2 linked regions of the Bombyx mori genome follow. The protein of the gene in region 2 purifies or fractionates together with the protein of the main gene of each other region. This does not show direct contact. Links are inferred from orthologs where the notes say so. Each region holds a gene or a part of one and is shown on either strand. Other genes may lie near its edges.

Evidence for each region.
Region 1: the proteins of cry1 (region 2) and F-box/LRR-repeat protein 15 purify together in Drosophila melanogaster (affinity purification with western blotting; 5 studies listed by BioGRID). This does not show direct contact. The link is inferred for Bombyx mori from reciprocal best matches to the Drosophila melanogaster genes cry and jet.

Annotation. Positions count from the first base shown.
Region 1 is NC_085109.1:1,691,080-1,695,349, forward strand, and holds the start of F-box/LRR-repeat protein 15, read right to left. Parts: upstream 2,874-4,270; 5' UTR 2,772-2,873; coding exon 2,574-2,771; intron 2,506-2,573; coding exon 2,039-2,505; intron 1,734-2,038; coding exon 1,580-1,733; 3' UTR 1-1,579.
Region 2 is NC_085123.1:13,764,618-13,769,033, forward strand, and holds the start of cry1 (cryptochrome 1), read left to right. Parts: upstream 1-1,507; 5' UTR 1,508-1,931; intron 1,932-4,416. UniProt on the Drosophila melanogaster protein: Blue light-dependent regulator that is the input of the circadian feedback loop. Has no photolyase activity for cyclobutane pyrimidine dimers or 6-4 photoproducts.

The DNA.
Region 1 (4,270 bases), on a different chromosome or scaffold from region 2:
TAATCTTTTGTAGTTAATGACATCATGCTCATCTATAAGGGGTCAGGTTTTCCAATGCCATTGACCAGGATAATTATAGGAATGAATGTTCACTACACATTTTATATTATATCATGCTCTATGTAGATTCTGCGAAACACTGCCCTTACTAGGGCTAGTGTTAGCAAATTCGTCAGGTTAGAGCCCCATGAGCTCACTTAGGTACTCATTTGGCGAATCTATTATAACCCCTCGAGGTTATTAGGATCTCAGTGCTGTTACTGAGATCTACTCAAAGTGAATGAATCACCTGAAGCAAAGCGGATTGCGAATTGTGAAGTATACTTTAAATGTTCTCATAATTAAATTGAGTTTTGATTGAGATTGAGTTTTGTTATACTTCAGTGAAAGTTTTTATTTATCCTGAGCCCTAGTGCTTATGCAAACAATGCTTATAAATACAATAATGTCATGGATGTCATTTGTATAAGTTGAAATTGTATGTTTTGGGAACAAGTTCTGGTTTACTGGTGGTCAGACATCTTGCGAGTCCACATGGGTAGGTACCACCACCCTGTCCTTTTTGTTCCAAACTTCCAGTTTACTGTTTTGTTTATAATACTTAGATAAACAATGGCGAATTTTATTACTTGTAGTGGTCAAGTAAATTTTACAAAGTGTAATAACTGAAATTCACAACAACACGCACTTATAAACAAAAAGCTAATGTCTATATATAAAAATGAATTGCTGTTCGTTATTCTCGCTAAAACTCGAGAACGGCTGGACCGATTTGGCTAACTTTGGTCTTGAATTATTTGTGGAAGTCCATAGGAGGTTAAAAAGGTTTCAAATAAATATGAAAATGCTCGGAATTAAATAAAAATATTATATATATATTATAATTTTGTTTTTCCTTTGATGTCCCCCCCATCGGACAGATTCCTTTTGTTTGTTTTAAGTTTATTTTATACAAAAGTTCAGGTCTTTTAGTTATCGATTGAGTTACTACGAAGTCTGCCGGGTCAGCTAGTTAACAATAATAATCGTTATCATTCGCTGGTACAAACAGCAGGATGATGTGGGAGTCCTGTGGAGTTGCGCCAAGTTGTGTGCGAGTACTTGCCTACTCACTACACGATGAATCGGTAATGCGTTACGGTTTGACGGGTGGGGCAGCCGTTGTACTGTAAAACTGAGACCTTAAAACTTATCTTTCAAGGTAGGTGGTGATATTTAGGTTCTAGATGTCCTTAGGGTTTTAGTAACTACTGAACATCAGGTGGGCCGTGAGCTTATCCAACTGTCTAAGCAGAAAAAATATGAATATATTTTTATTTTTATTGCTTAGATGGTGGACGAGCTCACAGCCCACCTGGTGTTAAGTGGTTACTGGAGCCCATAGACAATCTACAACGTAAATGCGCCACCCACCTTGAGATATAAGTTCTAAGATCTCAGTATAGTTACAACGGCTGATGTACCCTTTAGACCGAAACGCATTACTGCTTCACAGCAGAAATAGGCAGGGTGGTGGTACCTACCCGTGCGGACTAACAAGAGGTCCTATCACCAGTAATAAAAATGTTTAAAATATAAACTATATCGGCAAATAAATAGGTATTGGTCCGGGATCAACTGATCTCCTATCAATGTGAGCTCTGCCCCTTAGCATCTTTAGACTGTTTTCAGTCACCTTCGTGCAACTTCTCACCATCAGTCCTTCCAAATTCTTATTGTGCACAGCCAAAGCCCTGGAACACATGAATAATTCTTAAGTATGTTATTTGCATCTTGATCCATTATGGATTTATCACTACATAATATAAAACAAAGTCGCTTTCTCTGTCCCTATATCAGGTCCCTATGTATGCTTAAATCTTTAAAACTACGTAACGGATTTTGATGCGGTTTTCTTTAATAGATAAGAGTGATTGAAGAGGAAGGTTTATATGTATAATAACATTCATTAAATAGTGGAGAAATCAATAATAAATCACAGTTTCCGAAGCGAAGCTAGGGCAGGTCACTAGTTATTAATAAACGATTATTTACTTACTTGACACCTTTATCGGTAATATCACCACAGCCACCTAGATTAAGAAGTTTCAATTCAGTACTGTACTTGGATAAAGCGTACAAAATCTTATCTGTTACTTGTTTATTTCCTTCTAAGCTGAATGTTTTTAAATGTCTGAACTTTTTTATGAATATCAGTATACAGCTCTCCGTTATAGAGCTGCAGTATGAGAGGTCAACATCCTCAAGTTTCGACTGATGTAACGCGAGAGCCTCCACAGCACCGGTCGTGAGCCACGAGCATTTCGATAGCTTCAGAATTTGAAGTTTGTTACAGTACAATATCACAGGTTGTAAAGACTTGGCAGAGAGGCTGTTGCACTGACTGAGGTTTAGATTCGTAATGTTGGAATTTTGCAGTAGCATGGGGATGAGGTCTGCATCAGTAATAGTGTCGCATCGGCTCAGATTCAGCACGGTTAGTCTTCTGCATGTCGTTGCAAACACCTGCAATAATAATTTTAAAAGTCTCTCTACCAAGTTCCCTGCATATACGGTTCGACAGCAATACTGACCCTAAATGTGTGCGGTGAAAAGCCTTTATTCATTAATTTTAACGATTTTAACTTCGCAAAATACATGTTTATAATTTGCAAACATGTTTTCGAAACACATCGAAAACTTAAACACTCTCGTATAGTTAGATGCGGTAGCACTTTGGAGACTAATATATCTTCCCAGTATAAATCAAATAATTGAGTGTTTCTCTTCATTGTAATTTGTGTTTTACTTTATTTATCTCGATAACAGCTTTAATTTCGTTCATTTCTGTTTATTTGACGCTTTTGACATAATATTGAAGTTAGCTAGTTTTTGTTTGTTGATTCGTCTATTGTATAGCAAAGAAAACGAGACCCATACAGGTAAATCTCATCAAAGGCTGAAGCAATGTCAGATGTAGAAAACGTGAAACGTAACGGAAAAAAAAAGAACTTGAATGAATCTGAGTTAGCATAACGCTGAAGTTGTTAGTAGCAAGACGGGCGCACTGTTATATTGTGGGGCTAAGCTAATCGCTGGCACCCATTTCAGCTACCTACGCGTGGTGTTCAACACGAGTACATCGGTCTCATTCTTTAGGCCAGGAGTCACCAATTAGTTTACCTCGGGGTCTGTTTTAAGAATTGGAATGATCATTGCAGTCCGCATAATGTTTTATCGAAATAAGTATTTGTTAAACAAATGTAATTACTGAATTATCAAAGGTATTTTTTGCATTTCAATGAGAAAAATCAAATTTTTTACTGCGGACTATCTTACTGAACTTTGGATTATAATTAGTATAATAGCCGGCAAACTTCTTGAGCATTTGTTGACGTAGTGGGGGTAAGTTTGCGCATGGTACACTCACGTGCAAAAACATTATTTACTCTGCGTCATAATGCTATTAAATTATTAAAATCAACATATGTATTTATTTATATATTTATTAGAACATCAACAAAAAATATAGGTTAATAATTATAATAATTTAATCTTGGGGTAAAATAGATATTCCTTCTATTAAGTCAAAACTAGAGCTGTTGCCAGGTCTTCGTTCAGTTGAAGCGAAGCTGGTATTTGTAATTTTTTTTCGTTATCATAATCTTGACCATTATCATCATCACTGTTTTCATCACCCGAGTTGCCATCATCGTGATAAGTCGACATAGGGCTCATCGGTGTAATTTACGACTCGGTCGGTTCGATCTTCTTTTTTGTCTATAATTAATTATTTTTTGAAGATATTCGATTCGTAGTAATCGAATGTTACTTTTTTCAATTACCAGCTTCCGATTATTTTCTGTTTTTTTTTCCATCTGAAGCCTAGCTCTTTCATAATTCGTCGTAAACTTCATTCCGAGCCATTAAAATGTATATCTTCTTTAAAATTTTCGAAGCCTTTCTACGGTACGGAGTTTCGCTGCTTGTTATGTAGTTATTATGATTACATCTTTTTATTACAGATTGAACGAAACTATCCATTCCGGTAACTTTCTTCTTCCCTGATCTTTTCTTACCCGGAGTCCCAAGCACGATGAGCAAGCCAGAGCCTTTAGCTTCGTTAATAATGCACCTAACAGTACTCACTGATGTTTTTGTTGCTTCCGAAGTCTGTTTTACTTTTTCCATAATATCATTCTTCCCCTGTTTTATAATGAAGCAATATACGTCGTACACCATTTTTCTACCCTTTCTTTTGAATACTACACCAGTTTGTCGCGGCATAGTG
Region 2 (4,416 bases):
GCCCCTTGTCTAGGCTGAATATAAACTAATCAATAAAAAATAAAGCCAAAAAATTTTTTTTTCCATTTGAACGGTATGCTCCAAATGAGCATCGGACGTAAGCTACTTCTTTTTCGTCGCTTTCTTCAGTACTGAAGGTCATGTCCTTGAAACTTGACCGTAGCCTGTCTCGTGAGTTGTTTCTACTTCGACCGGTCCTCAGCTTCTCGTAGGGCGGTTGCAACTGGCAGTCCAGTTAGGGTGGTTATTTGATCACACCAGCGGCTAGGTGATGTAAAGAAACTATATTTCTTTCAAATGTACTATCATTTGCACAGCGCTCTATAGCTCCTGTGCACTTATATAGATGGCGCTGTCGACAATGGTGACATGCGTTGTTAATGAAGGGAATGACATCTTCCATGTTCGGGCATATTGTTATAAATTAAATTAGATCATTATTTTAGGGAATTGAGAGTGGTGGACTTTAATATCGTTTCTGTGTTTTCAGGCGAGATACCTATAATGTGAATGTACTGTTAATTTCTGTTGTGTATGTTATTAAGTTGTAATTGTAAGTTATTAAAATAATAAAATCGCTGTTTTCAGAGCAACACCATATTTGTTTCAACTACAATTCCATTTATAATTCATAGTAAATTAAATAGAAAAGTCTTATAGTCTTTATAAATCATAGAGATGCACCGTAGATGAATGAATAATTCTAGAAAATGAAAGAAATCAACTTTTCATGATCAGTTCAAATTTTTTTTTATTGTTTACATGTGTGGACCAGCTCACAGGCCACCTGGTGCTAAGTGGTCACTGGAGCCCATAGACATCCACAACGTAAATGCGCCACCCAACTTGAGATATAAGCTCTAAGGTCTCAAGTATAGTTACAACGGCTGCCCCACCCTTCAAACCGAAACGCACTACTGCTTCACAGCAGAAATAGGCAGGGTGGTGGTACTTACCCGCGCGGACTCACAAGACGTCCTACCACCAGTAATTACGCAAATTATAATTTTGCGGGTTTGATTTTTACTACACGATGCTGTTCCTTCACCGTGGAGGTTAACCATGAACATTTGTCGAGTACGTATTACATTAGAAATTGTACCCGCCTGAGATTCGAACACCGGTGCATCGCTCAACACGAATGTATCGGACATCTTATCCTTTAGGCCACGACGCGGCGACGACTTCAAAACGGTTTTCACATTCATAGATAATATTAAATATTAAAAGAGTGGTAAAAAACGCTTTTGCCACCGAAAAAGTCTCAGTAAATGACCACCATTTTACTGAGATTATATTTCATCCTATATCATCTCATCTCAATTTGTTTTCATTTCGTTTCATAACATGTTTCATATTAATCAACTTCATTTCATTTCATAATATCCTTTTTCATTTAAAAAAAGTTTTCCTTAAAATTAAAATAAGACTTGACCTAAATATCCTAGTTACCAGGTCATTTAAAAAAAAACCGATAAATTTACGAAATGTCAAATTGCAAATTGCCATGTTTCTGTTTATTGTGGCCTAAATTTTTTGAAATTTAGTTAAATGATATGTTTATATAGATAATTTAAAACAATTTCAGCATTAATATGTACTTTAGATGTTTCTTATGCATGATTAAATAATGTGTTCGAGTGTAAAAATCGTGATATTTTGAAAAGTGCTGTTTGTTTACTACATTGATCCGCTAAGTTTGGATAAAGTATACTAATTATTATTGTTGGTATAAAAATCTTCTAAAAATTATTATTTACTTCAGTCGAACAACAAAGTGATGAGAACTTTCTTCTTATTGGTCGAAAGTAATATTAATATTAAAAAAGTAATACTCTATGAGTTCCGCTCCTGAAAACGATCACTCTACAAGTCTACAATATAAATTAAATGACAACATTACTTTGAAGTTGAGCATAACTACAAATCAGGTATGTTGAAAATATATTCTAATGTTGGGTTATTATTATTATTTTTTTCTTTATAATACGTTCACATTTTATTTTATTCAAATCACATCGTACAAATCTGTCATATTTTCTGAAGAGATAAAAAAAATCTGTAATTTAATTAGTCAATAAACAATAAAGCGTAATGTTACTATCATGCCTGTGAATTTTATTAGTGAATATCAATTTAGTGAAGAAGATGCGTGCATACATCACATGCAGATGTTGGGAAATGGTAGTGCAAGGTAGAGGAAGAGATAGACTGAAGAAAACATGGGTGGTGTATGTGAATGATGATATGAGAGAGAGGAGTGAGTGTTGAGCTGACGGCTGATAGAAGAGAATGGAAGAGAAAAATTAGCTGTGCTGATCCCACCTAGTGGGGTAAGGTGAAGAAAAAGAAAGAAAAAGGATTTACTGAAGTACACATTTTTGATGACTACTCAACTGTTTTTGATTCAATTCAAATTTGACTTTCGGTTTATTATTCTTAATTAATGACATAATATTTATTAGAAAGTTTATCTACTTGTTATTATGGTTAATTTCTAATATGAAAAAAGGATAGTACCTACCTATCTGTGCTCACTTACAATAAGCCATAATATTACCATCGCCGTACCAAGCCATAATATTACCGTAAGACAAAAAGAAATGGGTAGGTACCTATTTTATGAATATAATAATATATGTATTATTATAAACAGTGAAGCATTCATTGGAAACGAATTTCACTTTGATATAGGGGGAGTAAGGGGGTGAACGTAATTGCCATCGATACGGCCCCAAATGTCAACCTCACCTGCGCGACTGCGACGACTAGTAGTCGTGGTGCTCCCTGCTAGACAACGGACGAGGCAATGGCGACCGATCAGTGGCGGGATAACCATATCTCTAGCTGGACAACTAGCTGGATGAGGCTGCAGTGGCCTAGGGGGCTAAATCCCCCCTAAAATGTTTTGGGACGGAAAGGAATGGGAAGCTACCGTTACTATTTTTCACAAGAAAACCACCATGAGAAAAGTCAAAAGGAAGTTTAGTATGTCGAGCGCTCCGACTGACTCTCGGCGCTAGGACGAGTCCGGGTCTTCTGGTGTGAAGTTGGTTACCGGCTATGCGTACGGTCTGTGCGTCATCAGGCTGCTTATAGAAATTGGGTTACTGTTGACTCAAATACTAGTACCACAGGGCGGTTAGGCCATAAAAAATCCTTAATGTTGGCACCTGGAATATTCGCGGACTCTTGAGACCTGGGAAAATCGAAATATTTTGCAGAGAGATGGAAAGTTGTCACCTTGGTGTGATGGGCTTAAGTGAGACTCACCTTACCACAGATAAACCAGATTGACTATGTCATGATAGGAGAACGATGGAAATCATCTGTCCTGAATGTTAAGACGAGACCAGGTGCAGATTGTGGCAGTGACCACTCTCCGTCTCAAGTCAACCAAACAGCAGAAACCTAGGAAGGTGGTGGACATATCGTGTGGAGCACAGGATTTGTTTGCCAATGCCATTAAGGAGCGATTGCGTGATTTTGCCGTAGACTCCTTCGACTCTGTAAATCACCTGGGAACAGTTGAAACAGGTAACCTTGGTAATATAAATGCTGTCTGCGATGACATTCAAAGGGATTCTGAACGCATTCATTCTAAAGACATGTTCCGCAGAGTTAAACAGTTGGCCAAAGAGTACAAGCTGTAAACCTGGACGTTTGAGGACGAACGTGGATGTCTCATCATTGACAGGCAGGCTGCGCTAGATAGATGGAGGAAATACAGCCAATAGCTATATTGCGAAAAGGGCTGCGATGATATCGAAGAAAGGATGGACTGTAACCAACGTGGGCCAGATGTCCTTCTTTAAGAAGTTGAGGCAGCAATCAATAGGTTGAAGAAGAAAGCATGCGGGAGGGACAGCGTAACCGCTCTAATGTTAAAGAGCCTAGGCTCGGATGGTATCAAAGATTATACACTCCATTTGCAAGAAAGTATGGCGTATTGACCAGCGGCCTGAAGACTGGACGGAATCAATATTAATTCCCCTCCATAAAAAAGGCTCCACGCGCAAATGTGAGAACTACAGGACTATCTCCATAATCTCGCATGCCAGTAAAATTCTCCTATATATTGTCAATAAAAGACTGAGGAGTTTTATCAATAGGCAAATCGCAAAAGAGCATGTGGGTTTTATTAAGGGTCGAGGAACCAGAGAGCAGATCTTAAACATGAGATAGTTGATCGAAAAGGCAAGGGAGTTCAACGTCCCGATGGCTTTCTGCTTCATTGACTACGCCAAGGCTTGTGACTGCATCAACTGGAAGAAAATGTTCGACGTGATGCAAGAGATGGGAATACCGGACCACCTCGTCTCCCTTGTTCAGACTATATATGGATGGAATTACGAGAGTCAGAATGGACAATGAGTTTTCCCATCCATTTAAGCCCGAACGTGGAGTCAGACAGGG